Linked DNA regions of Tamandua tetradactyla. The protein of the gene in region 3 interacts with the protein of the main gene of each other region in a biochemical or structural test. Links are inferred from orthologs where the notes say so. Each region holds a gene or a part of one and is shown on either strand. Other genes may lie near its edges.

Region 1 (7,077 bases), on a different chromosome or scaffold from region 3:
TGTCCCACTTCTTAGGACTTCTTGGGATCCTTCCCACTACCCTGACCCTTCAGGTCTAACACAGGTCTATCAGGCCCCTAGTTTCTACTGGTTTCTTGATTGCTATAGTCTTCCTATCAACTCCCCAGCATTGCCTTTCTTCTCATATGGAGCCCTCTGACTTGAGCCCAGTCCTGTGGCTCCCTGCTCTAGAGAGCCCACAGTCCCAGCTCCCTGAGGCTCCACTCTTCTGGACCTTGCTATACAGGGCAGTGTCTGAACTGTGGCCTGTAGTGCCACTATCCAATTCAGTACCAAGTTCAGGGAAGGCTGGGCGCTGGGACTTGGGAGCTGGGAGGGGCTTGGTGCTCCGAGGGGGTGGCACAGCATAGTCGTCAGTGGCAGGGTTGTAAGGGAGTTCATAGCCCTCCTCCTTCACCCGAGCCTGGCACCACCAGGCATCCTTGGGCTCCTGCGGCAGGTCATAAAGGCCCCGGGGAGGAGCTGGGGCCAGGCCCTCAGGTTCATCATAGATGGGGTCCTCTCTGGGGTCCCTCAGCTTGGCCTTCAGCAACTGCTGCTGCGCATGCTCGTACAAGTCCCAGTAGAGGGTAGGTTTCTTCAGCTGTACCCCCTCCCTAGCACAAGCAAGGGTGCTGTCCAGGGGGTCTGAGTATAAGGAGTCCCGGGAAGGGCCTGGAGGAATGCGCAGGGAGTCCATGGGCTCAGCGTACAGGGCTGGGGGGCCTCCCAGGAGCTCCTTGGGACCAGGAGGGGAAGCCAGCTGCCCCCCTGTCCCCTCTCCTTCATGGGAATCAGTACTCAGAACATCGTGCCCCTGGCCAGCCCTTCCCTGGGCCTTCTGCTGATGGATGGCGGTCTCAACTGCCTGAAAAATGTCATTTCCCTGTGCCGTCTGGAAGGTGAAGGTTCCAGGGCCAGAGGGGCAGCGGCGGCCGGCCTCAAAAGAGAACATAACCTGAAGAGGGTATGGAGAGAAGCACATCATCAGAGTCTCAGGGCCTGAAGTAGCTAGAGAATCAAAGAGACTACCTGGGGAGGGAGTGGACTCAAGGGGTAGGCCAGGTAGGAGGAGCCCAAGGGGCAGAGTTTCCCTCCTTCCAGTCCTGCCCCATCCCATCCTCAGCTGGGGAACCCCAGAAGCCCTTCCCCATAGCCCCCTCCCCGCCCCCACCTTGTCTCGACCATAGCGACGGAGCAGAGTGTAAGGCCAGGAAAGGAGCGGCTCCAGGCTCTGGCTCCCAGACCTCAGGGTCAAGAGAGTCAGCTTCTCAGCCTCAGCCCTCAGCACATAGGAGCCGTGCAGGCCACAGCGCTCTGCAGCCTCAGTCCTCTGCACAGTCACCCAGAACTGGGATCCTGAAAGGAAGAGCCATTAGATTCAAGGGGCACCTGGTCAGAACTGGGGGTTGGGGGGCTGGTGCAGGGAGTGTAGAGACCAGAAAGTATTGGGGAGCACAGTGCCCAAGCACTCACTCCAAGTCAGACTTCCGGGGCTCTCCCCCTTCCCCCTGGGTCCGGGAACCCTCTAATAACCCCTTTCCAAAGTCACCCCTTCTCGCGATCCCATTTTTGCTTCTCAAGCCTCTACCTTCCCAGGAGGAGCTATACAGAGAGTTCTCCAGCATCTCCAAGGCAGAAAGCTTGGGTAGATTTTCTGCAGGCGTCGGAGCCCAGCTGCCTTTCTGTGTAAAGAAAGAGTGTCCAGGACTCTCCCTAGCGTGGCTCCCGGGGTCTGAGCCAGCTGAGACCTCTGCTGCCGTGACCCTCATCCTGCCCCCCGCCTCACATCGTCCCTTGGGCCCAGGGCCATTCGCCCCAGACCCCTTCCCACTCCCCGGAACCCCTCACCGGAAAGGCGTTTCGGCACAGTGTCTGCACCCAGGCGGCGCTGGACGGCGCGTCAGCTGCCAGCAGGTGGGAGCGCTGCGCGGTGTCCAGGCGGAAGGCGGCGGCGCCGGGCTCAGGGGGGCTCTCCACAGCCACGGGGGCCACGCTCACACACTCCGCCAGACGGATTACCTTGCAGTCCAAGCGGCGCGAGCCCCCCCGGCCACCTCCAGAGCCCGACCCCTTGTGGTCAAAGAACTCGAGCCGGGCTACGCCGTGGGGGCTGGCCGGGTAGAGCACGGCCCAGGTCTTTTTCCACCTCTGCGGAGAAAGCGCGAGACTCTGAGGAGTGCGCTGCTTATCTCGAGCGGCCGCTGGCCGAACGGGAGAGGAGGCACTGGCTCAGCTCTGGGGCTTCCCGACTGGGCAAGAAGTTTCCCTAGGAGATCGCCATTCCGGCTCCCCAGGAAGAGGGAAAGCGTAGCCCGAGACCCGCAGACGCTTCTCCCGAGTGTGCAAAGCAACTTCGGAGGAACGTCGCGGGACTCTCCGGGTCCCCGCGCCGCACTCCAACCCGCTGCCCACCCCTCCCTCCTTCTGGGCCCTCTCGCCCACCTCTAGCCCTGCTGGGGTTTAGCGTCCCCAGCCCCTACTACCTTGGTCCCGAAACGCTGACTCTGCAAAAACAGAGGCCCTTCCATCACCGCCTCGTCCATGGCCCCCGGCGGTTCCTTCCGCGCTTCCTGGCCCCGCCGGCTGGAGGCGGGGAAGAGGCGGGGCCGGACTCGCCCGGGGCGGACCACGCGTGGGGAGGGGGGCGAGAAGCGAGCGGGAAACGGGATCCCCAGAAACACCCGGCGGCCGCCCTACTTCCGGGCCCCAACCCATAGCCCTGGGTGGGTGGGGGACAAGTAGCTCTACCATGAGAAATTTTGCGGTCTCGGGCTGAGCGTAGGAGCTGCGTGTGACGTTATGATCCCCTCATGACATCAGAGTGATGGCGTGACATCACCCCGAAAGTGGCCGCCGGCACCCTGGGGCACAGGAGGGGCCACGGGCATCCTCCCGGTCTCAGTTTCCCTGCCCCGGCCCGACCCTAACCCGGCCCGAGCTGAGCTGTTTACGCTCGGCCGAGCCGGGGCTGGGGGCGGAGGGGCAGGGCCGGGGCTGGAAGGCTTCGAGCCACAGCCCCGAGCCGAGCCGGGCCTCCCGTCGCCACCGGGCTGCTGCCGGGGGCTGTCGGTGGCCCCGTGGCCGCTTGCGTGTCCAGATCCCTGACCGCAGCTACCCGGCGTCCAACCGGCGAGTAAAGAAAGCTTCTTTGAGCCGACCGGGAGGCTGGGGCTGGGGCGCGGCGTCGGCCAGTCCCGCGGGGAGGGGAGAGCCGAGGGAAGCCGAGGCGGGGCCAGCGAGGGAGGAACCCCGGGAGAGGGTGGAATGTAGGCGGGCTCCAGGGGACATGGGCGGGACTAGCGGAGAGGGGGGGGCCTCCCCTGGCCGAGCACTTTTTTTTTTGGAAGTCTTAAGACAGAACCCCGGGACCGGGACTCTTCATCCAGCCCCTAAGGCCCCGCTCAGCCAAAGGTAGGGGGTGTTAAGCTGTCCGCTGAAGGAAGAGGAGTTGAGGATGGAGAGGATGGTGAAGGGACCAGGGAAGAGGAGTGGCGTGGGTTGGAGTCAAGGACAAGCCAACCAACGGAGGGTTTTATTATTATCAAAGGGGAGATACAAGAAAAGTGGAGAGAAGAAGCAGATGGTGGGGGGCAGGGGTTCCAAATAAGGCAGCTGAGAGGGCTCTAAGGCTGGGGGGCTCCTCTGTGAGGCCTTACCCCTGGCCAAAGTCCCCAGAACAAAGCTGTCTTGTTGGGTTGTTTGTCTGGGTTGGGGGAAGCATGCTCTGGGGGCCCCCTGGCTGTGGAGGGTCTGTTCACGGCCCCAGACGGAGAGAGGGCCTTGGCTGCCGTGCAAATCCGCGCCCTGGCCTCTGGTTGCCGGGTGACAGAGAAGGCGGTGTTGGCCGGAGGTTGTGTTGGCTGGAGGCTCCGACCACCCCACCCCATCTCTGCCCTGCGTGAGGCCTGGCCCTCCTGGGCCCCCTGACCTGATGGGACATCTGAGAGCCCATGAGCCTGGGCAGAGGTGCAGAAGTTCCCTGGATGGTCTGGTCTCTGCCCTCCCTGCAACCACATCTTCCCCAGATGGGACTCTGCTCCGCTGCCATTCAAGGGATCTGAGACCAGAGGGTCTCTTGGGCCCCAGTGGCCTGCCTCTCTCCACAATCAATAGGGCTGTCAGTCTGTGTGACTGACGGAATAGGGTCATCTGGGTTCCTCCCACATCTGCTCTTTGGCTCCCCCCTTAACAGCTGCCTGTACCTTTCCCTATTTCTCCCTAACTCCGTGTGCCTAGCTCTCTCCCTGTCACATTCTTTCTGTCTTCACTGTCTCTCTCTTCCGCTGCCTCTTTCTGTTTGTCTCCCTTGCATTCCCACAGTTTCCCTTCATCTCACATCCTGTCTGTCTGGGTCTTCCTCTCTCTGGGTCTCTTGCTCAGACTCCGTCTCTTTATCTTGACCTGTCCCTGACCCTTGGTCTCTAAAAAAACAATCACTCTTTTGACCTCTGGGTCTCTCAAACTGGGGGGTGGGAGCAATGGAGGTGATGATGGCAGAACTAGGGAAAGGCACAGTGGAGCGTTACAACTGATTGTGAAGATTTATTATTTACACGGGGTGGGGGGGGCAGCTGTTTGCTCCCTCTTCCCCTCTCCCTCCATCTGAGTCTCCTAGTCACTCCTCTTTGACTGTGTCTCTGCTTTTATTTAGAGTGTGTCCCTCTTACTGTCTCCCACAGTCCCTGAGCCTCTCTCACCACGGTTTCTCTGTCTCCCTCTTTGGTCTTATTCAGGGTCTGTTTTTCTTTCACGACATCTATCTTTGACTCTGGGCCTCGCTCAGTCTCTGTTTCTCTTCCTCCCTCTCTCTCTCTCTCTTTTTCTGGGGCACGCAGGCCTTCTCTGCCATGCAACCTGTCAGCATCTGGCAGTGGAGCTCATGGGGTCTGCTGCTGTGCCTGCTGTGCTGCTCGTGTCTGGGGTCTCCCTCCCCATCCATGGGTCCCGAGAAACGAGACGGAAGTGAGGGGCTACGGTTCCGGCTGGCTGGCTTCCCCAGGAAGCCCTACGAGGGCCGTGTGGAAATACAGCGTGCCGGCGAGTGGGGCACCATCTGTGATGACGACTTCACACTGCAGGCTGCCCACATCCTCTGCCGGGAGCTGGGCTTCACGGAGGCCACAGGCTGGACCCACAGTGCCAAATATGGCCCTGGAACAGGTGAGCAATGCTTCCAGTGGCCTAAATGCAGGGAGAGGGAGTATCAGATAGCACAGTCACAGAGAGGGACACAGGGAACCAAAAACACCCAATGTCAAGAAAACCTATGGATGACAAGCCAACACAGTCACTTCCCAGGTTCATGTGACTTTAGGTTGTCAGTTGCTTTCTCTGAGCCTCAAATGTCCCAGTTGCAAAGTGACTAAATGATCTCTAAGTTCCTTTCTGCCACAAAAGTGTGTGAGTCTACAAAGCCACATGCCATGGAAGCCCAGATACAGGTAGCCCTGTATTTCAGTACAGCTGGTTCCGTGGGAAGGTGAAAGCCGGCAAATGATGTCTGGATGTCCCAAAGCCAGAAGGGATCACAAATACATACTGCAGCTACAAAATCAGGTTACAAGCCAGAGCTGAAACCAACAAATTGGAACCGAATAAGGACAAACATGAGGCTTAAGACAGGTATGGGGAGGGGGGTTAAGAGCAATTTGAGTGAGACCTGGGAATACCTGGACTGTCTGGGCCCACTGGGATTGATAGGCAGAAGCTAATGCAACCAGCAGCCAATGCCCCAGTACCCACTGGCTAGACCACTTCGGGAATAAAATGTCTACTTGTGAGTGCCACATTTTAAGAGAGACACTAGAAAATGGAAATAACTTTTTTGGCAGCCAAGTTTTAAGGAGGAATAGCTGAAGAAACCAGGGACATTTGGTCTGGAAAGAAAAAGCCTTCAATGACAATTACAAGACGGTTGTCTTCAGTTGAACAGGGCAGTGATGTGACTGAGCGATTTTTCTGGATGGCATCAAAGGACTGAGACCTAGTGGGGGAGTCATCAACAGTCCCAGGAAGTCTCTGATGGGGGTAGCAGCCAGGTGGGGCGGGAGGAGGGTATCCAGCAGAAGCTGAGCAAGCTCTATCAGTGGGTGCGTAGGGGTCTCTGCACACCGGCTGGGACGGACGACCTTTGATGTCCTGTCCAATTCTGAGAGGAAATCAGTGCTGTTCAGTGCGGGGTCCAGCCTGAGAAGAACAAGGGGCAGCATAGTGGCACAGGCAGGGAGGCACGTGGGAGGATGTGTGGCTCCAGTAAAAGGATCTTAGATCTCCAAGCCTCACAGACTGGGCTCAAACACCTGCCCCCATCTACTGGCTGTGTGGTTGGTCTTAAGCAAGTTACCTAACTTGTCTAAACCTCCATTTCCTTATATAAAATGATGATGGTGTCTTCCTGGCAACACGGTTCCTAGAGTGATCATATATGTACAGAACCTAGCAGTGTCTGACACTCACTGGGTACTTGATTAATTGTAGTCATCATTGACCTGGTAAGGACTGATCTGAACTTCACTGTTGACTCAGTTTTTTATTCACCCTACTAATTTCTTGAGTAGGCCCAGATCACCACCAACTCTCTGGCAACTGCGTGCCCCTTGCCTATTTCGTTGCAGGGTTCCCTGTCCCTCCCCCCCCACCCCATCATCTTCAAAGAAAAATAGGATCTTCACAGCCAGGTGGGAAACCCCCAGGCTCAGTATTTCTAATACCCCCACCCCTCCCCCCTGCTATCTCCCTCAGCCTCTCTCAGTCCCTTCATCTCCCCTACTACAGGCCGCATCTGGCTGGACAACCTAAATTGCAGAGGGACAGAGCAGAGTGTGACTGAATGTGCCTCCCGGGGCTGGGGGAACAGTGACTGTACCCACGATGAGGACGCCGGGGTCATCTGCAAGGACCAGCGCCTCCCTGGCTTCTCAGACTCCAATGTCATCGAGGTCTGCAGTTCATCACACACACACACACACGCACACGCACACACACACACACACACACACACACACACGCTTGCGCACACATCTAGGATAGCCAGACAGGGAAGGCTGTGGGTGGTGATATGTGGTTAGGGCAGAT
Region 2 (7,936 bases), on a different chromosome or scaffold from region 3:
TAAGACCTTTCCTCTCACATTTCTGCTAATTTGTGTATTTTCAGGTTTTTTTTTTAATCTTTACCAATTTTGATGGGTGAAAACAGGTATCCCCTTGTTTTCATTTTCACTTCTATATCTTACTCACAAAGTTACTAACTTGATTTCCATGTGATAATTCACCAACTTCAGGTTCTTCTGGGTTGATCTAGAGAAGATCTAGTTTACCATGGCAGGTAGACCTGACTCATTTTTTTCATTTGACTTTTAATCACTGAAATGACTCCAGAGAGTGGGGTAGAAATTAGTTAGTAGTAAAGTAACTGTTTCACCAACCACATTCCATTGATTTTTAAAGTTATTTCTATTTAGAAGTCCTCCAAAGTCTTCATTTTTTCTAACAGATATTTCTACTCTGCTTGGGTACCTCTGTACTTTCTAACACTTAGGGCCTCTGACCCAGCACTGGGGACCAGAAGATCCTCATGTTGGCTCCTACAAGAGCTTACATTCTAGGGCAGCAAGATATCGGGGTCCCCTGCAGTAGGAAAATCCTGAGAAACCAGAACAGACTCCATTTAATGAATGGCTAGTACTGCCTTCTCTTTTCTTCCCAGTTTCTAAGGACGAGATTTGCCTATTGTCTTTGCAGAGGGATTCTACTTTTCATCTTTATTTCTCATTCCCTGGCTATCACAGAGAGACAGGAGTTTCCCTATTTCACAAGGCGTCTGTTCAATGGACTAGAAAGCTTGTAGGTGATCAGGCTTCCGGAGCCAGTTTCCTTCTAGTCCCAGTTCCGAAGAATGGTTTTGAGCATTGCACCTAATCTGTCCGGGATTTTGTTTCTCTTCTGAGAAATGTGATGGCTGGTTTGGATAAGCTCTATTCTCTTTTCCAACTCTAACCAAATTTAAAATTCAATGAATCTTAATTTAAGACAAATGGGTAATATCCAAAATCTATCTGTCCTCAGCTTCCAAAATTATGTCCTGACACCTCCGGTCCCTGTTCAGCATCTTCACCTCTATCCTGTCCAGGGTCTTATACAAAGGATTTTCCTTTATTAACAAAGGCAGCGCATGACTTTGAATAATGCCTATTCTTTGGCCAAACATTTTAGTGACTGCAAAAGAACCATCCTAATTGAGAAATTGATTGCCTACTTTTTAAAAGCTTACTTATATACTATTAAGTATTTTAAAAACAAAGCTTGGGGGGTGTAAGGGTAATTAAGTGGTAGAATTCTCGCCTGCCATGCGGGAGACCCAGGTTCGATTCCCAGTCCATGCACTTTCCAAAATACAAGCAAACAAATAAAAATTCAACAAATAATGCTGCAATAACTGGAGACTCACATGGAAAAATAATGAGATGTGACCCCACAATATAGGACACAAAAAATAAAACAAAGCTTGACTCTTGAATGATCTCTTTTACAGACAGGACAATTCCTAGAATCATTGCTCACTGCCTCCATGTCCATCTCTTTCCCTAAGATTTACAGCCACAACCTTATGCACCTGAACCAGAAATCCTGAGAACAAGAACAAGCCTGGAGCCAAATGCTAAGGGAACAAAGGGCCAAGGTTATGAGTGCCCATTTTAAGTCAAGTGGATACTATTTTGAGCTGTGTGTAGAGTTTAGCAACACTAATTTTGAACAATGAAATTCATTTGGCATTTTAAAGCAGCTTTCATAATGACCAGAGGTTTCGATTTAGCCAGAACCCCTGTCGTAGTATACATATACTCAAGAATGTCAACAAAATTCAAGGCTTTCCACCGACGTGGCTCAATGTTGAAGATTATCTCTGACAACTCAGTGTACATACATGAAAGGACTCACCTATTTGCTTCTCCAAAGATGATGTTATATACCTTTGGTTGGTAGACTGGAAAGAGGAAAAGAGAAAAGCATAATAAATGTAGAATCCTTTAAAAGGAGACAGGATTGTCAAATAAACCAAAGCCAAGAAAAAGAATCCAAATGCCTCAAAAATCTCTCCTAAAACCAGACTTTGGCCAAGCACTTGTGGCTGTCTGCACCTCAGTTCTGTGATTTGGAATATTTTTTAAGAATTTTCAAGATTTGGTTTGGCCATTTGCACAAATCCACTTTTAAGCAACACTCAAAGCTCTGTTTCTTTCTTGAATCACTAAGTGATCCAGCTGGCTGATTTGCCAATTAAGAAAGAAAGGAAGGACTATAATGCCAATCCTATTTTGGTGACGATACTTCACAAGAGAGAAAAAATTCCTTTCACTCTAATGTGTCTGCATTTCTCTACCTGCAGAAAGGAATGACTAGAACAACCCACTTCTAATATAGGAAAAGGGGTTGAAAAGCACTTTGCAAGACAGACTTGCTCCATGTAGACTGCACTAGCTCTCCCCGTCCCACCTCAGCAGAGCCGCCTTAGGCCCAGTGACTCCAGCACAAGGCAATCCACAGCCCAGCCTTACCTCTCGGAGTTCCGCCACCTCCTTCTGCAGGTGGAAGAGCTGAAACATCCCCAGACCCAATCCTACTAGGGCCGCAAACACCATGAAAAACATCACGAGGAGACATAGTCCTGTGTTGTGGTGCCTCTTCCTTGGAGGTGGCGGCGGTAGTGGAGGCAGCTGTGGAGGCGGCGGCAGCGGCGGCGGCGGCGGTGGCGGTGGCGGCGGCGGTGGCCTCCTGTGACCAGGCCTTGTGGGCACAGAGGATGGACAGGGGAGAACTGACCCTGGCGGGGTCCAGGGGGAGCTGGCACTGCTGTCCACCCAGTAGATTTGGGGATATGGATAATTTAAGGGCTGCTGCATAGCTGCCAGTGACCCAGGTCTGCCCCTAGGAAAAGGATTTCACTTTTTCTCAATCCCCTGGAGGCTATGGTGTCAGCAGTGGGTATTCCTGTTGCTGACTGCTCGAGAGAAGCAAAGCCAGAGCCCTCTTTATAGAGTTTCCACAGCCAAGGGAAACACCTCTCGCTCTCGTTCTCTTCTTTCGTTCTCTCTATATGCTTCTCAGAGAGACACCCACTCACATTGCCTCTGAACCTAAGAAGACTCAAGAGGCTCAAAGCGAACCCCTGAAAGTTTCCGCCCACAATTTTCTGATGAAAACCTTCAAAGCCCCAGTTGCTGTCGCTGGGAAACCTAAGATGCTGACACTTTAGGCTTCTCTTTTCAGGCGCTGCTAGAGAAGGTAAACATTGGGGGTCAGCCTGCAGGCATTACCCACTGCCTGACTTCAGGGAGAGGGGTCATGGGGCATGTTCAGGGGTATTGAGGGGTGAGACCCCTGAGTCGTGGCCAGAGGAATCACTTCCACATCTTCCCTTCTGCATAAGGAAGTCCTCCCCCAGCTGCCACCCCTTCCCCTAACCCAGGTTCTATTTACCCTGCTGTTTCAAAGCAACATAATTTTGACCTCAAAGGTTTGCAGGTTTAAAAGCCTGCTCCACCCACTCTCTAGAGAACAGGTCAGAAGTTGCAAACCAGTTTTTGGAACCTACAGATTTGTTTGTTGTTACCTCCTAATGTTTTTCTTTTAATTGGTTGTCCACTTTTCACATTGTGGATTCCTTAGATAGGGCATGGGTACTCCAGGTTGCCACACTCACCGGCCCCTACCATGCCTCACATACCACCCACCAGGGAAATGGCCTTCCCGATCCCTGCAGGAATTTCTGTTTGCAAACTCTGTTAGGTTTCCAGATAAAATACAGGACACCTGGTCAATTAAATTTCGGATAAATAATGTATCATTTTAAGTATAATTATGTTCCTGATATTGCATAGGACATTCTAGAAAGTTATTCATTGTTTATTTGAAATTCAAATGTAACAGAGTCCTATTTGCTACTGTTATTGTCATTTGTTTCATTGGTCGGTTAGTTGGTTTTAGCTAAAACTGACAACTTTATCTGAGCAAAGCTAACCATCAGGGACCTCACACTTGCATCTGATTTAAATAGTATTTGTATACCAATAACTTCCAAGAGCACAACTGCAGTCCCAGTCATTCTCCCAATCCATTGGAAGGCTCTGCTTTACAAATGTTGTTAGTTTTTATATTATGCTTTGGGATTTCTGTGACTATTGCTTGGTTGTCCCACCCGCACCAAGCCAACACCAAATATAATTTCCTTGCCACTTTCTGCCCTCCACTCCCCCCCATTCCAGTCCAACTTGTTTCTCCTGAGGCCACGTGGACAACATGAACTCCTCTCATTTCCTCTCCCCAACATTTAACTGCTCTCCCATGACTTTCGATTTGACCTGAGTCAAGTTTCTCACATAGGTGTCCCTATTTTTCCTTCAAATATTGCCCGCAGACTTGTATTATCTCTCATCTGACATATTGAAGTGGCAGTCTAACTGGTCCCCACCGCCACAACCTTTCACAAGCCCAGGTGGTCCTGCAAAATGCTGCAAGAGTGATGCTTCGAAACTCCAATTATCTTATTTCCCTGTAAAACCTGTTAAAAGGTTCGATTGCAGGAGTAATCCAAATCCCTGGAATTGACACACAAGACTCATAGTCAGACTTCAACCACTCTTACTGCCTCTTACTTCTGCCTGCATCCCAGTCTCAGTCATAAAACAATGCCATGATGAGACTGACTGGACTCACTTATGATGCTCTCACTCTCTTTTGGAGGCGGGCAGAGTCAGTGTGCTTTTAAGCTCACATGGTTTTGCTCATAGTCTTGAAAGACAATACGTCTAAAATTCATAAATAATAACCAATCACAGATTTTAATTTTTAGATTTCATCATGTGCACAAACAAAAAAAAAACCTTAAAATATCCTGGAATAACTATAGCAGGAGTTATATAAAACTGTATTTGAAAAACTAAAATAATTTCACTGAAAATGGCAAAGATACAAATGGAAAAATGTGGCACATCTTGTATGGGGAAGATAGAAAGATAGCACTGCATGACAGTTATGAATGTGGTTCAGAAATTAACATGCCTGGGTTCAAGCCCCAGCTCCACCATGCATTAGCTGTGTGAACTGGACATGTCAGTTTCCCTCCTCTGTGCCTGAGTTCCCTCACCTATAAAAGTGAGCATGATCATAATAGTACCCACCTCATAGGGTGCTGCAAGAATGAAATGAGTCAAAGCATTTTATATGCTTACAATAATCCCTGGCAACAAAGTAAGCATTCCTCAAACATTAGCTTTTGTTCTTGTCTTTGCAAATTTATCAAATTTCCCCCAAATTATTCATCTACAGACCTAATGTAATTGACCTTTCTAAAAGGTTCAATAAGGTGGGGATGGAGAGAGGAGCTGCAGGGAAAAGTGTCAAGTCAATGCTTGATATCCAATATCTCAAAATTTTACCTCTAGACTGATGGACCCCTCAGTCTCAGACTAGGATGCAATATTCCTTGCTCTCAAATTTCCAGTATTCTCCAGTAAGAATTATGCTATATGAAGATGCCCACTGACACCATAGTTATTCAATACTGTGCTGGAAGTTCTAGGTAGAGCAACGAGGCAACAAAAAGAAATAAAAGGCATCCAAATTGGAAAGGAAGAAGTAAAACTTTCACTGTTTGCAGATGACAGGACTTCAGTAGAAGTCCTAAAATGTCTATAGCAAATCTACTAGCGCTAATAAACAAGTTCAGCAAACTAGCAAGATAAGATAGAAGATCAACACGCAAAAATCATTAGTGTTTCTATACACTAGTAATGAGCAATCTGAGGAGGAAACCAAGGAAAAAATCCTGTTTACAATAGCAACCAAAGGAATCAAATATCTAGGAAGAAATTCAACCAAGAATGTAAGGGATAAAACTACAAAACACTGCTAACGATCAGCAATGTCATGAGCAAATTGTCAGTAACCTCCAAAATATATTTGTTTGCTTCTAATTTTAATAATTTAAAATCATGGCTTTTACTTAAAAAAAAAAAGCTGCTAAAAGAAGTCAAGGAAGATCTACGTAGATGGAAGGACATATGGTGTTCATGGATTTTAAGACCAAATATAGTTAAGATGTCAGTTCTACCCAAAATGATTTACAGAGTTAATGCAATACCAATCAAAACCCCAACAGCTTACTTCGCAGAAATAGAAAAACTAATAAGCAAATTTATTTGGAAGAACAAGATGTCCAAATAGCTAAAAACATCTTGAAAAGAAAAATAAAGTTGGAGATCTTTTACTTCTTGATTTTAAAGTATATTACAAAGCTACAGTGATCAAAACAGCATGGTACTCAGCTTAAATTCTACTTCCCAGCTGAATGTAATTTATTTCTCCCTCCTTGAAACATCCTGAGCCCTTCACGGGAGCCTGTCTTATGCTACAGCTCACGTTTTGCCTCTTTGGTTACGTTCATATTCATGTCTTATCTCCCCCATTGGATGGAAAGCTTCCTGAGGGTGGGGCCTGCATCCAACCAGCTTCATGTTCCCAGGCCCCCAGCACTATGCTTGGCAGAGCTGCACCAAAACACCACGAGTTCGGCAGCATCCAGTGCCCAGTCTGTGCCAGGCCCCATGCCAAGGACATTACAGGCATTGTTTCCTACTTGTATTTGCAATAAGCTGTTTTTCTCCCTAGTTTAAACATGAGGTAGCTGAGGCCCAGAGAGAGAAGGTCGTTTGACACTAGGCAAATGTAGCAGAAGCAGGATTTGAACCCAGGTCTGACTCCAAAAGACGCGCTTTAAGCCAGAGCTACTCAGTGTGCGATGCGAACAGTTCTGGGTGCCCTCTGATTGCTACCATTGGTGGTAAGATAAGTATAGAATTGGAAAATAAGTGTTTACAAACTTTGTAGCAATTGGGCAGAATAAATTTTATATCTGATGAATCTAATTTTTTATATTGGGCTTGAGTTTTATACATGTCTTTATTTCATTTTCCTAATTCATTCTTATTGTATTTTACAAAATGATCAGTTCATGATGGATTGAAAAATTTTTTAAATTTAAAAATCAGTGCTTCATCCCAGGTACTTTGAAGAGAACCACTTTACACCATGATTTAAAAAGTGGTGGGGTGGGCCAAGGTAGATCAGTGGCAGAGTTCCCTCTTGCCATGCCAGAGACCTGGGTTCATTTCCTGGTGCCTTGCCCATGTAAAAAAAAACAAACAAACAAACTGTGACTCAGCTAGAAGTACAAACCTAACATGGTGGAATTGTAACCCATGTCAAACTCTGAAATATGTTCTACAACTAATCGTGGTTCTGTGCTTTGAAATTTATTGCTTTTTTGTATATATGCTATTTTTTCACAAAAAAGAAAGAAAAAAATTCCATTGTGGTAATAAAAAAGTATTTAAGCTTTCTAACCTCCTATATTCTGAAGCAGCTAGAAAGAAAACTATGAAAGGATCAAATGGTAGCCCATGGCAAACCCTGGGATCTATCCTGTAACTATTTGTTCAAGGATGCTTTGAAAACTATTGCTTTTTTATTTCTTTGCTTTGTATAAATGTTATACTATACAATAAAAAAGTTTTAAAAAAATAAGAGCACACGCACACACAAAAAAAAACAACAACACGGTACTGGCATAAGGATATATACACCAACTAATGGAATTGAACCGAGAATTCAGAAATAGACCCTCTCATCTATCATCTACAGCTAATTGATTTTTTTTTTCCGCTAGTTGATTTTTGACAAGGCAGCCAAGGCACTCAACTGATGGTGCTTGGAGAACTGGATATCCATATCCAAAAGAATGAAAGAGACCTCCTATCTCACATCTTATACAAAAATTAACTCAAAATGGATCAAAGACGTAAACATTAGATCTAAGACCATAAAACTCTTAGAAGAAAGAGAAGGGAAATAGCTTCAATATTTTGTGGTAGGAGATGGTTTCCTAGACCTTATACCCAAAGTACAAGCAATGAGGGAAGAAATAGATAAATGGGATCTCCTTAAAACTGAATACTTTTGTGCCTCAAAAGACTTTGTCAAGAAAGTAAA
Region 3 (7,609 bases):
TACATGTTACTGCATAATTTTTTTAAAACACTTATTAAAGATAAGTTAGTTCCTCTTTGTTTTTAAGTTACTGAGTCCTTACTTCGGAGTCTAAAGGTAAGCAAGTGGGAAAAGCTCTAACGTTGGGGCCAGAAGACGTTTCTATCACTTGATTCCGTGCCACTGAACCAGGCCTGTGATCCTGACCCACAATCTCCCTGTCCAGCAGGGGCCAGGAAATGTTCAAGTGAAACCGAACTCCAGGAAGCTTCAGAGCCCCTGGCAGGCGAAAGGGTTAGCCCATCATCACTAAGGAGAGGTCTGAGATGCAGCGCTGTTGTCAGACAGGTCACTAACCAATGTCACGACCGATACTGTCCGTGAGCCTTTAATATTAATCCTAATACTGAGTATATGGAGGCAATTGAGATAATCAGTACCCATGAGCCTAAGTGTTCCAGGATGTGTGAATGTACACGTTGTATTCTCTGTGCACAGATTTAAAATTCATGTAAGTTTGTTAACAAATAATATGTTTTCATTTGGTTCTGTATATTAACCTGAACCAAATGGAACCCCAAATGTTTTGATGATTTATTTTTTAATACAAAATGCACTTCATGGAATACATACATATATAGAATACAAACATATATACGACTTGGAAGTCATAAAACTGTTGAACCACTTTGCTGCTTAAAGGGAGCCACTGGAGATGGTGGAGGTGGGGGCACACGACAAAGTCTCCACACACCTTTGGAATATCAATGACTACAAGATCAAGTGGGTCTTTTTGACTGGATAACCCCACCTTTGCAGGACACACCCCCAAATCAAGACCTTCCTTCTGGTGGATCAAGAGAGACGAGCCCTGAGTAGAGATTCCCACTTGTAGTAGAATTTGAGGTAACTTAGAGTCAACAGGTCCCCCAAATTCCCATTTTAGAAACAAGACAGAAAGGGCCAAGAGACTAAGGATGCCTTAAGGAGCAGCCTATTCACCCGTCCCCATGTGTCCTTGACCTTGCTTGAGGCAGGCCCTTCATTCCTTCTTTCAAGCCATCCCTATTGTGTACCCAATGTGTGCAGGGCACCAGGACAAAACAAATGTCACTCCTCCTTCCATGGAGCTTCCACATGAAAACAAACCATGAGGTGGCTTTGGTTCCCACCATGAGGGAAATGTTGGCTAATTAATGACACAACCTATTTATCCCAAATCACAGTTCCAGCAACGCTGGATGAGACCAAATCTCAGTTTCCTGGCTCCAGTTTTCTTTTCATTTATAACAGCTCCCCTCTACCCTTTAACCAGAAAGAGAGATCCCCACCCTACATCCAAAGAGGATCAGCCATTAAGGGCCCCAGTCATAAAATTACTTTTCTTCAAGCCTCAAAACACATAGTGCCCAGTGAAAACCAAGGCACTGACTGATTCTCGCCCTTCCCCAGCAAAGTACACCTTAGAATGGACTTGAGTCCTTAGTAAGCTCCTTTACTCTCCCAGTGCCTGCTAGGAGTTGGCCCTGCTTTAGCTGCTGACAGTACAGGAAGAGCTTCCTTGCCTCCTGTACATGACCTCTGCTGGGGGCAAACAACAAACAACAAGCTAAGTCAGCCTTCTTTACTGGCTAGTTCTTAGAGCATCAGATTCCTGGTTCCTGCATTGGGACAGCAAATCCTTTATTGTTTTAAGCAAATATTTTGGGAGAGCAAAGTCTCAGCATGGAAGATGATGGGTACATCGGAAGAGACCTTGGTTTAAAACCGCCAAACTGTAAAGATCCAAAGAGCCTCATTTTTACAGACATATTTATTTCCAATAAGTAGTAATAACCATGCCACCTTATGGAATGCATACTGGGTACGAGGGGCTTTATGCTCCATAGTTCAGGCGGTAGATGGTTTCCTCTGACAGATGAGGAAACCAACAGGGAATTTCAATAATGACTCCAGTTCACCCACAGCTAGGAAACTGCAACGCCCGCATTCCAGGCTTCTGAGATGGCAAAGAAGTTGGGAGGATTTGGGATAATTAAGACTCGCACTCCGGATATCCAAAGAAATTCCACTGGACCACGCGGCTATGACATGGGCCCCTCCAGATGCAAAGCCTCCGACAGTCCGCCAAGATAACAAACGACAGTAGGAACCGATGCTTACACCCTTCCCCCAAGGCGAGGAAAGCAACCCCTGAATTCTTAAAATAACCATCCGCTTCCTCCCTAACGAGGCATGGGGCTGCCCATCTGCAGGCGGAGAGGCATCGGTTCAGTGGGAGGGCGCGCAGTAGCTCCGCAGAAGCCCCTGGACGTCCCGCTCCTCCCCGGAGTCACCAAGGAAGCAACTGCCCAGGCGGCCTGGGAGGGGGCGGGCAGGTCGAGGCTCTCCTCTTACCTTTAGAGACCCGGGACCCAGCGGGGAAACCCGATCACGGCATCCGAGAAGTCCCCGCCAGGGTCCCACGCGCGCGCCCGGCCCTCGTGGAGAGGAGGAGACGCTTGCGGCGCGCAGATAGTGGCTGGACAGGGGACAGCAAGCGCCCCCTCCACCCCCATGCCCGGTGCGCGCGCCCACCCTGCGCGCAGGACCTCCCACCACGCCCCTACGCTGCTCGGCTGCAAGACACCTGCCGAGAGCCCGCCCACGTACTGGATCCCCGCCGGGCCACACCACCCACAGATTGACGGCATCTCGGGGCCCCTCACCGGCAGGGCCCCACTCCCGTGGCCCTCTTCGCTGCCCACGCCCGCGATTCCCTTGCGGTGTACTCACCTGCTCGCGGTGCAAGTTGCGAGGCTGCAGCGGCAGCGGCGGAACTCCACGGTGACCCGGCCGCGGAGCGGGGACGCGACGGGGCGGCCCGGCCCGGCCCGCGTGGGGAGGGCGGCGGGCCGGGGCGAGGAGGCGGGAGAGGGGCGCGCGGGTCTGGCGGAGATGACGCCGGACCCCGGTACTGCGGGCTGAAAACTACGGCGCGTCTGGCCCTGAGGCGCCACGGCGGGGAGTGAGCGGCTGCGAGGCCCGGCGCGGCGGCAGAGGAACTGGCTGTCGCTGGGCTTGGCCGAGAGGTCCCAGGGACTTCCTGGTGCTCGGATTTGCATACTGCTCCCGGAGGGCGGGGAAGTGACCGTTTGGCCCCTGCCCAAAGTTTGGGTCTTTGGTGCGGCTGTCGCGCAGTGCTTTAAAGGCAAAGAAACCTGGTGTTCCAGGGCGCAGCTAAGGAGGTTAGAACTTCTCCCTGGAATTAGACAGAAGCAGCTTTCAGGGACCTCGTTTGGAGAGCGGGACTCTGGCTTTGTGGGCACATCCAGGGAACCTCTCGCCTCCTTCCTTTCCCCCCAGCCTACTCTCCGAGGTGCTCCTGGGAACAGATGGGGCGCTTTCTGAACCTTCCCAACATTTGCAGCTCTCTAGAAAAGGATGAGATGTGCTCAGGACTCAGTGAATCTTACTCCACACAGAGTAAGCCCCTTGAGGCTGTACACAGAGGCGTCACATTTTGCGGGAGAAGAAGGAGTTTCTGAAGTTAAATTAACTGGCGAGTTGCTCAGCTCCTCAAAGCCTCAGTTTCCTCAAGGGAAAACGGAGGCAAGAATGCCTAGCGCTCAGTTACCGGGACGATGAAATGCCTTACGCCAAGGGCTTGCTCTGTGATAATTTCATTGCCACTGTCTGCATGGGAGCATATAGCACCACCGTCCTTGGCACACAGCTGATGCCTAACCAATGTTTGCTGAAAGAACGACTGCCTTTCTAAACTCAGAGTTCACCTCAGCAAATGCCATTTACAAATCAAGATGTGAGATTTGTCTCCATCATAGTCCATGTTATAAGCGGTATTTCATTCCTTAGGATCCCTCGATTGCACTACATTGTAGAATTTTCAAGGAAATATATTGGAGAAATGGATCTTTGCATTTATAATAGCAAACACTTACATAGCGCCTAATGGACTCCATACAAAGTCCAAAGCATGTTGGACATACTACCTTCTCTCCTTCACGGTGTTCTCAAGAGACTGGCCCCACGGGAGAATGTGGTAGAGTAGAACACCCTGAAACACAGTCTACACAGCAGTCATTGGTTACTAATAAGAAAGTACTAAGGTTTGCAAACTACTTTCTTACAAGAATAAAAAGAAGTTGCTGATAGGTCTGATGTTCACTGGTAGGCAGTTCAGTTTGTTGCCCACTAAAGAGAAGGGGTGGAGTCACCCTTGGGAAGGTGTTGAACATTGAATGAAATCTATGATGGATTCTTAGCAATTCACTACTCAGGGGTTCATTTCTAGACTTCCTCCAAAATGACCTCTTAAAATATTGGCCCCAAATTAAAATGTTTACATAAGGGAATCTTATCAGTGAGTCCTTGAGATTCTTTGGCTAAAGGCATGTGGCAAGCAAGAATAGAGTACACAAATGTTAGGCTTTGGTTGATCTCCCTGGAATGTCCTGTCGTCTCTGGTAAAATGTGTCTTAGAGTGAAGACGAAAGCATCCTCAGACAGATGCAGGCTTGCACCCAGCTCCAACACTTCTAATTCCTTGTACTTGAGGATCCTAGCTGAGCTCAGCTCTTTCTTCTTACCTGGGGGGAGGGGGTGCGTCCATCCCCACCTCTCAGGCTATATTTGTGCATCCTGAACACTCCCTACCCATTTTCTATCTTCATATTTCTTCTTTGAAGTCCCATGTACATTCCATTTCTTGGAAAGTTAGATTTAAAGCCCTCATTGGTGACCTTCTTTCCAGGACACCTATTGCATTTATACTGTGCAACATTGATTTTAAGCTTGATTCAGGTGTTTCTTGGCATTGCTTGCTTTTGTTTCATGGGTCAGCCATCACCCCCCCCACTACTGGAAAATAGTCACCTCCTCTCAGGAAGACATTGTTTCTTATATTATGTTTCCCCCTGTACCTGGCAAATGTTCTGTTAGTTGCTTTAAAATTGTTATTAGTATGGATTGATCAGTTAATTGAGTAACTGATGGGTTTCAACAGTGTTCTCTAAATTGAGTACATTATGGAGGATGAACATACAGAGGGAGATTGCATATCCACCCAGGCTCCCTGGATAGGGTGAAGGTGGGGGACATCCTTTAGTAGGAAAGAAGGGGGAAGTGGCGAAAACGGCATTAGCCATTTTATATATTATATATTCTTATATATATATATATTATACATATATATACATATACATATATATATGTAGGTATTTTATTTCCCTCCTAGTGGATGATGGATATTCTTATATCCATGGATATCCATCATCCATTCATATAAGAATATCCATCATCCACTAGGAGGGAAATAAAATACCTGCCTTCAAGTACATTGTCCTTTATCATGGAGCCTGTTCTAGTTTGCTAGCTGCTGGAATGCAACACACCAGAGACAGATTGGCTTTTAATAAAAGGGGATTTATTTCATTAGTTCTTCAGAGGAAAGGCAGCTAACTTTCAACTGAAGTTCTTTCTTGTGTGGGAAGGCACAGGGCGGTCTCTGCTGGCCTTCTCTCCAGGTCTCTGGGTTCCAACAGCTTTCTCCGGGGTGATTTCTCTCTGCACTCCAAAGGCCTGGGTTGAGCTGTGAGTGCAGAGATGAGGTATGCTGAGCTTCTTGGGCTGTGCTATGTTGTGCTCTCTCATTTAAGCACCAGCCAGTTAAATCGAACATCATTCATTGGGGCAGGCACGCCTCCTAGCTGACTGCAGATGTGATCAGCAACCGATGAGGTTCACATGCCATTGGCTCATGTCCACAGCCACAGAACTAGGTACCTTCACCTAGCCAAGTTGACAACTGAATTTAATTACCACAGAGCCTCACCACCCGATGACTGTTGGCAGCATTTACAGCCAGGATGAATGATTTTGGTGCGCAATTTGGTGTTGGTCCCCAGGCACCTGGTCCTGCAGCCTTCCCCTGTGGCCACAGTGTGGCCCTTCCCTGGTGACCTGTCCTTTTGGTACCCTGCTGTGAGCCTCCCTCAAAAGGTTCTGATTTCTTGGCCCAACTCAGGAACTCCTGCAAGTTGTTTGCTGGTTGGCTTTGTGGGAGAAGTGGAGGGAATGCTGATGGAACTCTCTGCCTGACTCTTACAACCATGTGGGCCTGGCAAACCCCAGACCTATGGCCCAAGTAGCCAGTAACATAGAGTAGGATGCTCAACTGGCTCTGCAGAAGAATCTCCGGGGAGCTAAGATAGCCCCTTGCCCAGGCCAGACCGAGATCCAGTAAGTCCAAATCTCTGGGGTGGGACCTGGCATCAGAGTTTTAAATTACTCTCGGTGGTTCCGATGAACAGCCAGGATTGTGAACCCCTGGGGAAGCGCATCAATCAAACAGCCTGGGGGAATGTGGGGTATATTTACCAAGCAAATGAGTTTCAATTTATCATCAGTGTTCCTAATTAAATACAATAGAAGCCCTCTCATCTGATATACTTGGGACAGATGAAAAAAGTTGTTTTAAGTGAGGACGTCATAAAAATATTAAAAAAAAAAAAAAAAACTGTGCTAGGGACTGAATCATGTATTCCATAAAAGATATGTTCAAGTCTTAATCCATTTTCCTCTGTGTGTCAACCTATTTTTAAATAGTATCTTTGAATATGTTAAGGTGGTCAAGGTGTGGACTCATTTGTGAACAGGATCTTCCTCTTTAAAGATAGAAGGCTGAATCAGGGTTGGCCTTACTCCATATATCCATAATTGAATATGCGAGAGCAGCCAGAAATCAGAGAAAGTCATAGGAAGAGACCAACAACATGGCCATCACCAGAACTCTACCACCTCCAAGAGAAGCATGTCCTTGCTGCCTTCTTGATTTTGGACTTCTGCCTTCAAAACTGTGAGACAATAAATGCTTGGTATTGAAGCCAAGCTGTCTGTGGTATTTGTCATGGCAGCTTCGGCAAACGATGTACCTTAAACATTTTACTTGAATTTAGCTATAAGATAATTTCTTTTCCTTGCCAATCTCTCAGGTAAGGCCACTATGTTTCCTTTGAGCATTAAATCCCTAATTGACACGCTGCATCATCTTTCTTACCTGAACCACGGCCAGGATACTGCAGTTCTGTTTGCCATTCATAGCTTTGCAAAGCTATCTCACTGCTCAATCTCTGAGTCTGAAGCTTCACTCATACCTAATTCAGCAGAATTATTTGCTCTTCCATTTTACCCATGACTGTTTCCAAATCTTCAACTTTGCACAGAAACAATTTTTTCACTCATTTTAAAAGTTTCTATTTAACTCAATCACGAAATTGCCATAACAGGCACAATTGCCATAAAAACAACTGGCTTTTGGGAAAGTATGCAAGTGTTCCAGACAGTGGAGTAGTCCCTTTGCTAGAGGGCTGGAGCAGTACTTTGACAGGGGAAAGTTTGGGAAACTTCCCAAAGTTGAAGGGAAGAGGTTAATTTCTGAGGCATCCTTATTAAAGTCTCCTAATCCATCCTTACAACCACTTATAAGTATGGGTCATTTTCTACATTTTATAGATAAGAAAACAGTCTCAGAAAGTCAAATGATTGGCTCAAGTTCATCTTGCTGAAGTGGTTTGGGCTGGACTCTATCCCTTTCTGTCCGGCTGATTGTCATCAAAGTCTGGCTTTGTTA
Region 4 (7,259 bases), on a different chromosome or scaffold from region 3:
CCCCCCCAAAAAAAAACTAGCCATCTTGTTCACTCCTGTATTCCCAGAACCTCCAATGCCTGGACTATATATTTTTTAATGAATCAATGTGAATCTCACTTTAAACACATTTTGGTGAGTAATGTGAAAATGGTCATACAGTTGGAAATAGGGGACCGATCTCAAGCTATCCTTACTGATTATCTTGGATAGTTTATCCTCAGCCAGTTTCTCCAGCTGGAAAATGGTTGGGACAGTAAAAAAATTACTTCTGGGGCTTGTTGATGAGGATCTGAAATGACCGGTAAAGCCCCTAGCACAAGGCCTGGCACTTGGCCCTGTAATAAGAGATTATTAAAAACTGTTATAAAAGCATTTAAGTATACGATGGTTATAAAGTCATAGAAAAAAGTGAAGTTAAGGTGGGAAAGTCCAGAATGGGATTAAATGAATTATGTGGGATCCATTTATAACATGATGTTATGATTTTCATCAGGATAATAATCTGCAATACCCTGTGTGTCTAGCTGCTGGGGAGGAATGTGACCTCACACCTGCAGGAACAAGAGGAAGGTATGATTCACCATTCCTTCCAAGTTCATCCTGCGTGGCACGGGAGCTGTAAATACTGGAAGCTGTAAATACAGGAAGAGAACCTAGTAGCTGGCACCTCTCCTAACCCTCAAAGAGAAATGTGTAGGGGAGCAGGTGGGGACTGAAGAAAAGGCAGCATAAACCACATCTCCCCGCTTTAACCAGGGGCAGATGGGTAGGGACACACCAAGTGGCCCCAGAGACCAGAAAAAGCAAGGGAATTTCAAAGCTGCGGGAAGGCATCAGGGAAAGAGTTGTGAAAAGTGCTAAATCTACACTCAAGAGTAAAGGAGAAGAATTTTGAACCAAAAGGATCCTTTTTAATGCAGATGCCTCATTGCACTCTTGAGGAAACTGGGATCCCTTGAATTTAAAGGACCTGCCCAAGGACATAGCAGGCAAAGAATGGCTGAGGAAACCCAATCAGACAAGCAGTTCAAGGCTTTTTGGCTACATCACACTGACCCCTCCTCCATTCCCCACCACAAGAGAAAGCTTTAAAATTCTCTTTACAAAAAAGTCTATTGGATCCAGCAGGAAAAATCTGAGGAAGCAGGAAACAATTGATTCACTTAATTAAAAAAAAAAAAAAATGGCAGTGAGTTCTTTCTCTTGTCCTACTCTGATCATACATCTTAACTGAAATTTAAAAGGTCAAGGCACAAAAATAAAATAACCAAGTGTCATTTTAAACTAGGCGATCAAATCGGCCACGGCATCTGGATATTCCCTCCCACCTCTCAGAGGTCCAAATGCAAGGCCTCTCTTCCCCCACAGGAAAGCTCTCACAATGCCTTACAAGACCAAGAGGGAAAAGGCAGTGTCTGGAGACTTTATGGGTAAACTGACCAGTGGTCTGCACAGGGTAACAATAAGTCACTGCGACGCTTCCTTTCGAGCCCTTACATTCCAGTTCAGACTCACTTTCTTATCCGTACATCATCAGGGTAAAGGTTTAAAAAAATGACCGGAGATAGAGGAGGGCTTCAGGGATTTGGGTGACGCTCGCGCACACCAGTGACATCCAGAAGGGAAGGGGGAGGGGGGAATCAGCCTGAGGGGACCCAGGAACCTGCGAGTCCTACACTTCACCTTCAGACCAAGTTCCCACGCGGATGTAACCGGATTTCCTCACAGCTTCAAAAATCAAGTAAGATCTACGGTAAGTTCCATTCCATCTCCAACCATCCCACGTCACGCACCCATTAAGTATAAATATTACGTGACAGGGGATGTTACGAATGTCAAAATTCCCGAGGTGAACTGGGATTTGCATTCACAGGTCGCAGACACCGAGGCGAGGGCTTCCAGAGTCTCGCTAGCCTGGTCGGGAACTCTGGCCTGGGCACACGCGGCGGCCTGGGACAGCGCTGTCGCCGTCTCTCCCGGAGCAGGAGGCAAACACAGCCCCCAAGTCGCTCTCGGAGCGTGTGGCAGGAATGAAATCGCACCGCGACAGAACTGGGCGAGCCTCCCGCACAGCATTTACAAAACCCAAAAGTCTGCAACCTAGCGGCTGCTTTCCACACGCTCTGCCCAAGTTGTCCCTGTCGCCGCCACCTCCAGGTTGTCGGGGTCCGACCCCAGAGCGCACGCCGCACGCTTCCTTTGGAAAACCATAACCCGGGGGGTGGGGGGTGGGGGGCCGGGAAGCGTCACTAAGGGCCGCGCCGCGAGCAGAGGCGGCAGCGGGCCCGTCCCCACCTCTGGGCACAAAGAGCGCCACACGTTGGAAAGGAGCAGTCGCAGAGAAAAGAGAAGGCTCTCAAACTTTGCCCTCCACGCGGCTAAGAACATGCAGGTCGGTCCTCTGATGAACCGGTCACACACACGCAACTTTTAACAAAAGGAAGCTGCGGCCGCGCCTCGCACGGTGGAGATAACGCGCTGGGTGCTAGCCTCCAAACCGTCCTCTCCTCTGCCACCCGCGCACCCTCCGCACAAAAGAAATCCCAAACTCGCGTGCAGCTCGACTGCCGTCCGCCTTCAGCCTCGCTCTTGCCCAAGTCCCCTCGCTGCCCTCATTCCCAGAAGACCCCTCAGCTCAGCGCCCCACCACGACCAGCGACTGGAGGCTCCTCGCACAGGTGAGCGAAGCAAGGCGCAGGAGAGCCCTGGGAACGCCTCGAATCTTCCCGGAGTCTCTAACACCTGGGACCAGAAGGGCCCGCGCCCACCTCTCCAGACACACCCCAGCAGCCTCAATCCCTCGGGGAACACTGGCTGCGGTGGGGGACGCGGCCAGAGTCCCCACCGCCCTTCCCCACCTGTCTGGACGCAGAGCAGGAGGAACAGCACGCAGAAAAAATCCCAAGCGCAGCGAGCGCCTCTCATCGCGGAGGCTTGGATCGGAGCTCCGTACCACGTTCCTCCTCTCGCCCAAGTGTAAGCCGCGCGGCAAAGCTGAGCCCCCAGAGCCGAGAGCTCTGAGGGGCAGCCCCTCCTCCCAGCGCCCTCCCTCTGCGCGCCGGCCACGCCCCTCCTCGCCTCCTCTCCCTCCCTCCCCCCTCGCTCTCGGCGCTTCTCAGCGTCTCTGGCCCTTGCTTTTTCGACTAGCTATCCCTGGTGGGGGGAGGGGAGGGTACGCTGGTCTACGCCCCCGGGTCTTGACCCGAGGGCCTCTGCATCTCCTTCTCTCCTCCCGCGTGATGTGGTCTGGCCGCTAAAGGTAGTGCCGAATCGAGGGTGGTGGTGTTGCCTGCGCGCTCTGAGAAGCCGGGCACCGTGCGCACATTGGAGCACCAGCTTGCCACCTGGCAGGTGTTCCCCAGACAATAAAGATTGACCGCAGCCCCTTGTGCATGCTCACGTGGGAGGGGACTGATCGCCGTTAACCCTGGAAGTGTTAATGGGACGCGAGAAGAGATTAGAAAATTGGGCAGCGGCATTCTTCTAGCGTTGCGCCTTGGCACCGCGGTAAAAGGCTTGATAGAGGGTTTAGGTAATTCTTTATGCTTAGTTTCTCCACCTGCTAGGTAACCTGTAAGAACAGTTGGTTTCTATTGGTCGACGTGGCCTCCGTCCAACAAACCCCAGCCAATACTTTCTTGGAGACTGGGGCTTTTGAGCCAAGTGGAGCCATTTCCGAAGTTTGTTTTGGGGCCTGGGTTTTTAACACCTTTTCGCCAATCGCTGCGCGAAGCCCTCTGGCCGCCTTTTTTTTTTTTTTTTTTTTTTTTTTGCCCGTGTACGGTTTCTCTGTCTTGCTAGCACAACAGTTAGAAGGCTGAGGATCCCTGCGTTCCTCTAACTTAGCTGCTCTACCCGGTACCAGGAGCGAAATAATAGTAAAATGATAATCTTTAAACCAGGTACCATTGCATAGAACGTGCTTTCCTAGCTGTTTATGGTGGCAGTCCTTGAATGAAATGTAGCGACAGTATCTGATTAGGGTTATATCGTTCTTCCTCGCCAATAGTACTTCATGCTGATATACTTATTTTAATTCTCAAGTGGCCCAATCTCACACATTAAAGGAGACCTGCCATTTGAGCCCATAGTATAAGACTGTCTCTAGGTGTGGTGAGCTTTCCTCATGCCTTCTAATAAACGAGTAAAACGCCCCTCCAGAGAGCTTAAGAGTGAAAAATAAATGGGAGGGGCCCATCAGAAAAGGGGATAGAATAATTTAGATTTACCTAGACTCTCTAAAGTATCATCCAAAATTTATAATTACCCAGATATTCAATTACTATCAAAAGCTCTATTTGATACTGAAAGGATCTAAGTTGGTTTAAGAATAATGACTTTTAACACTAACCACTTTAAAATTATCACGACTAGAGGATGATCAAATGACCAACATGTACTGCCTCTCTAAATGTATTTATCCATTAAACAAGCATTCAGTGTGTGTCTTCTGTGAAGCAGGGAGGAGCTAGGCACAGGGAGGGCAATAGTTAATAGATTCCATCCCTGCCCTCACCGTTCTGATGGGAACCTACACCCTAATCTCCTAGAAAATGGTTCAAATCTGACAGCTGTGAGAGAATGGAAACTCAAAAGGTCTCTGTTTTGCTCTGGCCCATAGACCACATTTTTTTCTTAAGATAGCAGAGATAAAAGATACCATTAGAAGCAATCAAAAGTTTCTCAAATCTTGATTTATTTCTAAAATCTATTTTGTAGTGAGAAAAAAAAAGTTTCTATGAGTTAAAATATCAACATTATGCCTGAGAGAGAAAAATTTACAATTTTCTTCTTCAGTTAACTGATCCTGGAGAGGATAACAAATCTTCAGAAGAGTGGATGAAATAAATTTAATTCTAGGCAGGAAAGATTCTATCAGGAAAAAAATCAGAATATAGGAATTATACAATGGTGAACTGTCACTCATGTTCATCCATTTATTGAGCATCTAGGTAGGCACAAGACCGACAAAAATGGAGGAGACAAAGTCCCTGCCCTGGGGGAATTCACAATCCAGCTGGGAAAATAGCCTCCCAAACAAGAAACTGTAATATCTGCTAACATGTTCAGCCAGTACACACCTATCTGGCCATATTGTTTCGTAGAATATTGAAATCTTTCTGTACTGACTGGGAAAAAGCCACTGAATTAAGCACCTCCTAAGTACCACCTACCCCCAACCTTCCCATAAGACACCCCAAATCTCCTTAGATCCAGCAATTAAAGGTCTACTGCCAGACACAGCAGCGCTTCCAGTACCTGTACCTTTAAGGTTGTTCACTATTTTTGATAATATCCCCAGCCTGCTATATACCAAGAGGAAACATATATAAAGTGCTATGACTATATTATATATAATATACATATGACTATGACTATATTATGTTAATTATATTATAGATCAGCACTCTCCAATAGAACATTTGCCATGATTGAAATGCTTTATATCTCAGGAAGGATGTACACTCATTGGTTAGTGTCCATACTGTATTTTATGATAGCTTTGGACCCCTTCATGAGTTATTCTTTGTATATATTGTTCTTTTTATAATCATATTAGTGAGGACTCTTTGCTTGATGCCCAGTGCAAACTGGGGGTAAACAAAGAACCCTTAAATCAATTGGTTCTTATAAGTGGAAAACCCAGGGATGAAAGTGCTGATTCCAGACTTTCCTAGATCCAGGGACTCATAGTCATGAGGACTTGAAAAGGTGTGTGGGTATGTTTCTCCATCCTCAACTTTTGGCAATACTTTCCTCTGTCTTGTTTCACTGTCCTCGCATGCGTTCAGGCTGGGCATTTGGCTTATCCCATATTACTACCAGTGGAAGCAGAACTTCTTTGGCCTCATAAACAGCTCCTATAAAAAGTGCTGAAACTGAGTCTCATGGACCTGACTCAAGTTATGTGCCCATCTGGGACCAGTGATGGAAGCCAGAAGGATGGAATATGATGACTGGCCTGGTCTGAGTTATGCACCCACTTCTGGAGCCAGAGGTTGGAGGTCTACTTCATCCACACCATGGGGCCTAAGAATGGGGGGAGGGGGATAATTATGTCCCCAAGAAAAAGGGAAAAGGAGGAATAATGCTGAACAAACAGAACAAAGGATGTTTATTGCAGTCTCACACAGAAAAAAATTTCTAACTTGAAAAAAGTTTTATTTCTGATCATAAAAGTAAAAATGTTTACTGTAGAAAATTTGGAAAATGCCAAAAAAATTAAAAATAACAAATCAAAGAAAGTCGATTGTGATGATAAATGCACAGCTATATGATGATATTGTGAACCATTGATTGTACACTTTGGGTGATTACATGGCATGTGAATATATAATATATCAATAAAAGATAAAATAGCAAAGCAAAGCAATATCACCCAAGATATAATCATTGAAGAGTTCATTTGGATATGTTTCTTTCTAATCTTTTTTTCTGTTTACGTGTGAGGTGGTTTTCTCCCCCTGCATAATTTAAGACCTTACTATATTTTCTGATTTTCTATCCAGTTTTTGTCAATGTTTACAAGTTTTCTTTTTTTAATTTATTAATTTATTAAACATAACATATGAATACAAACATTCTTACCACATGATCATTGCGTTCTTGATATATAATCAATAACTCACAATATCATCACATAGTTGTATATTCATCATAATGATAATTTCTTAGAACGTTTGCATCAATTCAGAAAAAGAAATAAAAAGACAACAGAAAAAAATTCATATATACCATACCCTTAACCCTCGCTTTCATTGATCACTAGAATTTCAATCTACTAAATTTATTTTAACATTTGTTCCCCTTATAATTTATTTATTTTTAATCCCTATGTTTTACTCGTCTGTCGATAAGGTAGATAAAAGGAGCATCAGGCACAAGGTTTTGACAATCACACAGTCACATTGTGAAAGCTATATCATTATACAATCATCTTTAAGAAACATGACTACTGGAACAGAGCTCCACATTTTCAGGCAGTTCCCTCCAGCCTTTCCATTACACCTTAACTAAAAAGGTAATATCTATATAATGCATAAGAATAACCTCCAGGGTAACCTCTCAACTCAGTTTGGAATTTCTCAGCCATTGACACTTTATTTTGTCTCATTTCACCCTTCCCCCTTTTGGTGGAGAAGGTTTTCTCAATCCCTTGACATTGAGTCCCACCTCATTCTATATCCACTTTTCTTACTACTTATATCATTAAGCATTGTCCCAGATCATTAAAAAATCCTTGAAAATATAATTTTGATGGCAGTATAAAGTTTAAT

Evidence for each region.
Region 1: of the proteins of LYN (region 3) and DOK1, one has a biochemical effect on the other in vitro, tested with the Homo sapiens proteins (2 studies listed by BioGRID, with this or other methods). The link is inferred for Tamandua tetradactyla from reciprocal best matches to the Homo sapiens genes LYN and DOK1.
Region 2: the proteins of LYN (region 3) and FASLG form a complex in vitro, tested with the Homo sapiens proteins (2 studies listed by BioGRID, with this or other methods). The link is inferred for Tamandua tetradactyla from reciprocal best matches to the Homo sapiens genes LYN and FASLG.
Region 4: the proteins of LYN (region 3) and KIT form a complex in vitro, tested with the Homo sapiens proteins (2 studies listed by BioGRID and IntAct, with this or other methods). The link is inferred for Tamandua tetradactyla from reciprocal best matches to the Homo sapiens genes LYN and KIT.

What each region holds. Positions count from the first base shown.
Region 1 is NC_135343.1:48,440,428-48,447,504, reverse strand, and holds the start of DOK1 (docking protein 1), read right to left. Parts: upstream 3,015-7,077; 5' UTR 2,547-3,014; coding exon 2,487-2,546; intron 2,152-2,486; coding exon 1,852-2,151; intron 1,686-1,851; coding exon 1,592-1,685; intron 1,360-1,591; coding exon 1,175-1,359; intron 959-1,174; coding exon 143-958; 3' UTR 1-142. Other genes in the region: LOXL3 (lysyl oxidase homolog 3), read left to right, coding at 4,851-5,163, 6,778-6,941. UniProt on the Homo sapiens protein: DOK proteins are enzymatically inert adaptor or scaffolding proteins. They provide a docking platform for the assembly of multimolecular signaling complexes. DOK1 appears to be a negative regulator of the insulin signaling pathway.
Region 2 is NC_135330.1:26,485,827-26,493,762, reverse strand, and holds the start of FASLG (tumor necrosis factor ligand superfamily member 6), read right to left. Parts: upstream 3,003-7,936; 5' UTR 2,791-3,002; coding exon 2,446-2,790; intron 1,875-2,445; coding exon 1,829-1,874; intron 1-1,828. UniProt on the Homo sapiens protein: Cytokine that binds to TNFRSF6/FAS, a receptor that transduces the apoptotic signal into cells. Involved in cytotoxic T-cell-mediated apoptosis, natural killer cell-mediated apoptosis and in T-cell development.
Region 3 is NC_135332.1:99,478,455-99,486,063, reverse strand, and holds the start of LYN (tyrosine-protein kinase Lyn), read right to left. Parts: upstream 3,004-7,609; 5' UTR 2,755-3,003; intron 1-2,754. UniProt on the Homo sapiens protein: Non-receptor tyrosine-protein kinase that transmits signals from cell surface receptors and plays an important role in the regulation of innate and adaptive immune responses, hematopoiesis, responses to growth factors and cytokines, integrin signaling, but also responses to DNA damage and genotoxic agents.
Region 4 is NC_135345.1:54,927,179-54,934,437, reverse strand, and holds the start of KIT (mast/stem cell growth factor receptor Kit), read right to left. Parts: upstream 3,011-7,259; 5' UTR 2,908-3,010; coding exon 2,841-2,907; intron 1,049-2,840; exon of another isoform or gene 476-1,048; intron 1-475. UniProt on the Homo sapiens protein: Tyrosine-protein kinase that acts as a cell-surface receptor for the cytokine KITLG/SCF and plays an essential role in the regulation of cell survival and proliferation, hematopoiesis, stem cell maintenance, gametogenesis, mast cell development, migration and function, and in melanogenesis.